Saccharomyces cerevisiae S288C: one gene and its partner. The protein of the gene in region 2 purifies or fractionates together with the protein of the main gene of each other region. This does not show direct contact. Each region holds a gene or a part of one and is shown on either strand. Other genes may lie near its edges. The genes, in order: RPC82 and MAF1.

Evidence for each region.
Region 1: the proteins of MAF1 (region 2) and RPC82 purify together in Saccharomyces cerevisiae (affinity purification with western blotting; 7 studies listed by BioGRID, with this or other methods). This does not show direct contact.

The regions. Positions count from the first base shown.
Region 1 is NC_001148.4:917,029-920,956, forward strand, and holds RPC82 (DNA-directed RNA polymerase III subunit C82), read right to left. Parts: upstream 2,014-3,928; coding exon 49-2,013; downstream 1-48. Other genes in the region: QCR2 (ubiquinol--cytochrome-c reductase subunit 2), read left to right, coding at 2,353-3,459. UniProt on the Saccharomyces cerevisiae protein: DNA-dependent RNA polymerase catalyzes the transcription of DNA into RNA using the four ribonucleoside triphosphates as substrates. Specific core component of RNA polymerase III which synthesizes small RNAs, such as 5S rRNA and tRNAs.
Region 2 is NC_001136.10:456,275-460,202, reverse strand, and holds MAF1 (RNA polymerase III-inhibiting protein MAF1), read left to right. Parts: upstream 1-2,099; coding exon 2,100-2,105; intron 2,106-2,185; coding exon 2,186-3,367; downstream 3,368-3,928. Other genes in the region: SOK1 (Sok1p), read left to right, coding at 1-1,661; putative DNA-dependent ATPase RAD57, read right to left, coding at 3,620-3,928. UniProt on the Saccharomyces cerevisiae protein: Mediator of diverse signals that repress RNA polymerase III transcription. Inhibits the de novo assembly of TFIIIB onto DNA.

The DNA of each region.
Region 1 (3,928 bases), on a different chromosome or scaffold from region 2:
TAGAGTATAAAAGGTTATTAGACAGAGTTTATCAGCTGTATAGAGTAATCATGCCATTTGGAAAACTTCCCAAAGCGATAGCAACCTCGATAAACGAGCGAAAACATTTAGCTCTCTTTCATTGACCATCTTTAATTGATTCAATTCGCTTGGTAATAGTAGTTCGTTCTCTCTTCCTTTAACATCATCTCTATTTGCCTTTTTTAATAATGTAGAGTTTTCTTGCTTTAATTTCTCCTTTTTAAAAAGTAAATTTGCCATATTCCATTCCAAGTTTTGTCTCATGAAATTATAGGAATGCGTTTCTTTGCATCTAAACAAAAAAACTGCCCTTGATGCTGATCTATCGGCTGTTCTTGGAACTTCCTGGATTTCCACAGAATTGTATCTAATTAAAGATGCTAATGTAGATCTTATATCCTTTTCCTTCATTAACGCAGTTGAGTTGATAATTTTCTCAGACACCAGCTTGTTATCACGAATACAACGGCTTAAACGCATTGCTGAGGGTCCCAACGTAGACGCGATAACATACTCATAAACAGATGACTTTAATACTGGCATTAGTTTGCTATATGGAACATAGTAAACACCTGGTTTGGTTTCGTTCAAAAAGGGGAAATTTGATGATGCTAGGATTTTTAAATGACTATTTATCAAAGAAGCTGAGTGAGGATCCTCAGTGTCTGCATCCAAATCCTCCTCCTCTTCGTCTTCTTCTTGTGTATCTCCACTTTCTTGAAGAGATTTGGAAACAGCAGCAGGTAGCGCCGGGATCACAAATCCATCTTCGGTTTTTAATTTTTTACTGGGTAATGATGCAGCAGCGTTTGAGCCAGAACGCTTTTTATTGTCAGAGGGCTTTCTAGATAATAAGCTTCCACGCAAGTCCAATTCTGCGGGGAGATGTCTTGCCAAGTCAATAGCATTAAAGGTAAGCCCTGGTGTCTTCTCCTCAACAAGTTCGGCTTCGTCTTGAAACGATTTTGCTTCCTCCAAATCTTGTAAAAGCCCAGTTTGAGTTAGTGGATCTCTAATTTTAGGAGACTTTTGCTCTGTGAGTCTTAATGCAATTTTGTAAACTTGAGCTGTGACGGAGCCGACTCTTGTCTTGGCCAAGTTAATCAATTGTTTAGATCTTCTACCTTTCATAAATCTATCCAAATTAATCGTCAGAGAGACTGTAGGTTTAACAATCCTCAATGAGGTCTTTGGATCAACCGTTAAGATTTGTGAAAGCTCATTTGGTTTATTTATGATTTTGGCAAAATCAGTTTTCGCATTCATCTTGGCTTGGGATCTTTTCTTCAAATCGGACAACGGGGAGTTTCTGGGAATATTTTTGTAATGTTTTTCATATAAAAATTGCCAGAGATCTTCGATTGGGGTATAATGCAATTTTGATATTTGAATAAGATATCCCATTTCACACAGTTGCACGAATAGTGATGAAATGGTGTACTTCATGGAATCTGACGTGACACTACTTAGATAATCTTCCACTGTTAAGGACCCTAATGATATAACGTTTTGTACAATTTCAGCCACCAGCTGTTTATGCTCCTCTTCGTCGTTTACACGCATTTGCGTAATAATTTCGTCAATAATCAACCCTGAGTAGAGTAAAATGTGTATCCCTTCCTCGTTATAGTAATAATAAGTCGTTTTTTTCCCGGATATTGCTGTTTCTTGCAGGTACTTAACACACCTTAATTGAGTTAATGAGACTAGTGTCGTCTTGACGCTGTCTACATCCATACCATCTATTTTCTCCACTAACTCGCGCACACTCAATCTGCCCAGCGCAACCAACATCCCAATTACAGAAGCTGCTCTTTCACCCAGATGTGCCTTCACCAACTCTTTGTAAAGAAACAAATCGGGATTCAAGGTTCTCTGTTCCAAGGATGATATGGTCATAACATCTTCGGGGGTGACCAACTTCTCAGATTCGACAGTGCTCTCACCTGTTTGGTTCTCTGCACTAAGCGCTTCTCCCAGTAACTCGTCCATTTGGATCTTGCTCAACAAAAATTTTTCCCTATTCCTGTGTCAGCAATTCTCTATTGTTCTCAATATTTCTTCCACTATTATTATTTTGATCCAAAATTATTTTTTTCCTTCAATGCGATGAGCTTTTGAAAAATTTCTGATCATTCCCAACGAACCAATAGAAGGCCCGCCCCGTCTTATATCCGTTAGCCTACCAAATATATATATAAAGAACAAGGGCCTTTCCTCAGAGCGTTTGCTGACGAAGTTTTAGAAGTTAATAAGGTTTTTAACAGCAGTGTGCTCGAACGATTAGGACGGGAGAGTTAAAATTATTAAAAGGAAAAAAGAAGAACGTTGATGTTGTCAGCAGCTAGATTGCAATTTGCCCAGGGGTCAGTTAGAAGGTTGACCGTTTCCGCTAGAGACGCACCTACTAAAATATCTACATTGGCTGTTAAGGTCCATGGAGGGTCTCGTTATGCAACCAAGGATGGTGTGGCCCATCTTTTAAACAGATTCAACTTTCAAAACACGAACACTAGATCAGCTTTGAAATTAGTCAGAGAATCCGAATTATTAGGGGGAACTTTTAAGTCTACCTTGGATAGGGAATACATCACTTTGAAAGCTACCTTTTTGAAGGACGACCTTCCCTACTACGTCAATGCCCTAGCAGACGTGCTATACAAGACTGCCTTCAAACCTCACGAGCTCACCGAATCTGTTTTGCCTGCTGCTAGATACGATTATGCGGTCGCTGAACAATGTCCGGTAAAGAGCGCCGAAGACCAATTGTATGCCATTACATTCAGAAAGGGTTTAGGAAACCCATTGTTATACGATGGTGTGGAAAGAGTCAGTTTGCAAGATATCAAGGACTTTGCGGACAAAGTCTATACCAAGGAGAACCTTGAAGTTAGCGGTGAAAATGTTGTTGAGGCCGATTTGAAAAGATTTGTTGACGAGTCACTGTTAAGCACTTTGCCTGCAGGTAAGTCATTGGTGAGTAAATCCGAACCAAAATTCTTTTTGGGTGAAGAAAACAGGGTAAGGTTTATCGGTGACTCCGTTGCCGCCATTGGTATCCCGGTAAACAAAGCCTCCCTAGCTCAATATGAAGTATTGGCCAACTATTTGACCTCTGCCCTATCCGAGCTTTCCGGTTTAATCAGCTCGGCTAAACTTGATAAATTCACTGACGGCGGCCTATTTACTCTGTTTGTAAGAGACCAGGACAGCGCCGTGGTATCTTCCAACATCAAGAAAATTGTTGCGGATTTGAAGAAGGGCAAGGACTTATCCCCTGCAATAAATTACACAAAGTTAAAGAATGCCGTCCAAAATGAATCTGTTTCCAGCCCAATTGAACTAAATTTTGACGCCGTGAAGGACTTTAAGTTGGGAAAATTCAACTATGTAGCCGTCGGTGATGTTTCCAACTTGCCATATTTGGACGAATTGTAAGAGGAAAGTATTTGTACAAAACGAAAAACTAAAGGCAAATATATATATAGATGTTGCCGCGCACCTTTTTTTTAATGAATATTCACACAAATATTGAAAATAAAAACAAACAAAATTCAAATAACAACATGTAAGACCAAAAAAAAATCCCTCATTATTTATTCCTTACCCTTTCCAAATTCTTACTATACTAGTAAATATATATTTAATTATCCTTTTTTCTACTTCAGCATACAATCCTTCTTTTGCCGCAGGTTTATAGTTAGACCCCTCAATTCTGTCAAGTTTCAGTGGTACGTTATTTTATGTCTCATCTCACGATCCTGGCAAAAAAAGAAAGGCATGTAATTTGAGGAGGCGATTCACCCTCATTTTTACGCAACAACAATGCTGTGTGGCTTACACGCCTCTGCGTACATATCTACATATTTAACGGTCCTGTATTTTCAAGCACGCAAGGCTGAAATAA
Region 2 (3,928 bases):
ACTTAACTTTGGAAGATAGAATAAACTACATAAAGGCTACTCCAACGCCTGTTCCATTTCCTCCTATAAATTTGCAGGGCTTAAAAGAGATTGACTTACAGGAAATTCTGAAAAACCCACAACTAAGACATGATATAATATTCGACCCGCTACTACAATTCAGGCCAAATCTTGATGGCGAAAGAGGGAATAAAAAAAGACAATTGGCGAATATCTATTGGAATGATGTTCAAAATGAAATTTATGTTTACTCTAAGAGGCCTGAAATATTCCAATATAACAGGTCAAGACTAGTCCCACTTTTTGACACTTTAAGGGATGTATTGTTAACGATAGTCCCACAAAAAGAGTCTCCGATGATAAATAATGTACTGGACACAGAATTGAACATTCAAGAACTATTGAAAGGTTCTCTGATAATGTCTAACTTGTCAGGCTGGTTGGCTGATTTATTTAAACATCATTGTGCCCCCATGAGGGACCCATGGGTGGATAAAATGAGCAACAAATTTAAAGAAGCTGAAAGAGACTCTTCTTTAACAAGGTTAATAGAAGGTTTAAGGTTGGTTTTTCAAATTTTGGAAACAATGAAATTGGATATTGCCAATCATCAAATAAGAATACTAAGGCCAGCTCTGTTAAGTAATGCTGTAGAATTTGAGAAACAGTATTTCAACACTCTTATAGCCTCTAAAAGGGTGAATTTAAATACTTCCCTACTTTGGTTTGATAAAAAATTCAACGAAAATGTTACCGCTGGCCTTGTTAGAAATCCAAGTTCTATCACTATCCCTGATGTCTACAATATTTGCATTAGAAGTATAATTAACCTATTGTCATGTAGGAAGATGGTGAGAGAGTACCCAACTCCGCTTTCTTTTGATCATGCAAGATTGATCCTTTTGCGTGCCGATATACGTCAAATTGTTTGTATTTTAGTTTGCCGTTTACTTTTCCAACAATTGGTGGCCAACGATCCTTCAATGGATAAAGCTACAAAGGAATATGTTATTCATACATACTCAACTAAAAGGCTGAAGAATGAAATTATCAGCATTATAACAGATGAACACGGCAATTGTAGGTGGACTAAAAACACAATGTCTATTGCTGTTCATCTTTGCAAAGTTATTGACGATCTTCACAGGGAGTACGACAACAATGGTAGTTGTGAACAAGCCAGAAGGCCTCAATTGCCTTCATTAGACAACTCAAAAATAACCTTTGCTAAATCTTGGTTATCTAAGCAAACTCAACCCCTCAGTGAAGTTTATGGTGTCCTAGAAAATAGAGTATTCAAATCACTAGAGGACGCTATCTTCAACAGGTCCGAGTGCACAATTGATGGACGCGTTAAACAAGACTTTGTGTACCTCTACAACACAAACAATGGCAACGTAGGTAGCACTAACACTTTGAGTACTACTACAGATACTGCTAGCGTTAAAATCAGCCCGTCTTTGATGTCTCCTTCTAAAACCTCCACCACCACACCTACTGGCAATGCGATTGCATCCAGAGGTTTATTCGCAGCAACAGAGCTGGAGGAATTCGAGAATGTTTATCGCCACTTATATGCATTAATCAACCTTCATTGGTCCGTATTCGGTCCTCATTATATCGAAATGTTAGGAGATAAAGTTAATAAAAAAGGAATATAACTATTATCGGTAATGGAGGAAAAAAAAATTTTTTTACCATTTCTTTATGTAACTTCATATATCATTTTTAAAGCGTACATTTCTTATAATTTCACTTCTTAAATGCAGTCACATATTTACTGCTATCAGACAAAGTAAAGCGTCGCTAATTACTTGCCTCCACGAGTTGCTTGTCAATCAGGGGCGCTTCATCTCGCCAGCGAAAGCGCGTTGTCCATCTTATTTAACAAGAGAAAAAAAAGATAATTCAACTTAAAAAGAACGTGCTATCAGCTATATAAAATGTAGACACATTATGTATCAGTGTTTCTTTAGCAATGCGAAAAATATAGGCTTAGTGTCATTTACTTAAAGTTTAGAAACTCTGCACACTTCACCAAGAACAAGTTTAACCGCTCATTACTCCAAACGGATTTTTTTGCCTAAAGAATCACGACAATGAAAGTATGTTATCACTCTAAAACTGCCATGCTCTTTATTCGAAATTACTAACATTGTACCTGAACCCTCCTTTTCTTCCTTAGTTTATTGATGAGCTAGATATAGAGAGAGTGAATCAAACTCTCAATTTCGAGACAAATGACTGTAAAATCGTGGGCAGTTGCGATATTTTCACAACAAAGGCGGTTGCATCAGATAGAAAATTATATAAAACTATTGATCAGCATTTGGATACTATTTTACAGGAAAATGAGAATTACAATGCTACCCTTCAGCAACAGCTAGCTGCTCCCGAAACAAACCAATCACCCTGCTCGTCGCCATTTTATTCTAATAGGAGGGATAGCAACTCTTTTTGGGAGCAAAAGAGAAGAATATCTTTTAGTGAATACAATAGCAATAATAACACTAACAACAGTAATGGCAATAGCAGTAATAACAATAACTATTCTGGACCTAATGGTTCTTCTCCAGCAACTTTTCCCAAAAGTGCCAAGCTAAATGACCAAAATTTAAAAGAATTAGTCTCGAATTACGATTCTGGCTCTATGAGCTCATCGTCTCTTGATTCTTCTTCTAAGAATGATGAGAGGATAAGAAGAAGGAGCAGTAGCAGTATTAGCAGTTTCAAAAGTGGTAAATCATCGAACAATAATTACAGTTCTGGTACAGCAACCAACAATGTTAACAAAAGAAGAAAATCTTCGATAAACGAAAGGCCAAGCAATTTAAGTTTGGGTCCGTTTGGTCCCATAAACGAACCGTCAAGCCGCAAAATATTTGCTTATCTGATTGCTATCCTCAACGCTTCTTATCCTGACCATGATTTTTCATCGGTTGAGCCAACGGATTTTGTCAAAACATCATTGAAAACTTTTATTTCCAAATTTGAAAACACCTTATATTCTCTTGGTAGACAACCAGAGGAATGGGTCTGGGAGGTAATTAATTCTCACATGACTCTTTCTGATTGCGTCCTTTTTCAATATTCACCTTCAAACTCTTTTTTGGAAGATGAGCCTGGCTATCTTTGGAATCTTATAGGTTTTCTTTACAACAGGAAAAGGAAAAGAGTGGCTTACCTTTACTTGATTTGCTCGCGTCTAAATTCGAGTACAGGCGAAGTGGAAGATGCCTTGGCAAAAAAACCTCAGGGAAAGCTTATAATAGATGATGGCTCAAATGAATACGAAGGAGAATACGATTTCACTTATGATGAGAATGTAATAGATGATAAATCAGATCAAGAAGAATCCCTACAGTAGTTTTAAACTTTAATTTGTGAATTTTCCTTGTCTTACACCTATAATCGTTAAAAACAGTCCCTTTATGTCTACTATTGTAAGTTTCTATTTTTAAAAAAATACCCTTTTCAACTATGTACCTTTATGACAATATTATATTTACTAATTGAACACTTTAGCGAGGATTGAATAATGTGCGCTACTATATAAAAAGACTGCCTTCATCATATATTACTGCAAAGCTCTTAGTTTCTTTCGAATACGGAACTTCAATCAGGCTGTTTCTATTCCTCGCTTAGTAATTTGATATGCAATTTGACCAGGCTTAGCGAATGTGGAATATACCACTTTCATTGTCCTCTTAACTTGCCAGAAGCTTGCCGAATCACCTCCCTTATAAAGATGAGCTTCACCTCTTTGAATTATTGTTGAAGCCTTGAAAGATTTTTGAAGTAATATTCGTGTTGAAACGTGATTGGACCAAGTCAAACCGAGATTGGGGACACGATAGTCAAATTTCCGTTTCTTACTTTGTCGACTGATAGGACTTGATGAATTTCGCTCAACGGTTTTATTCTCAAT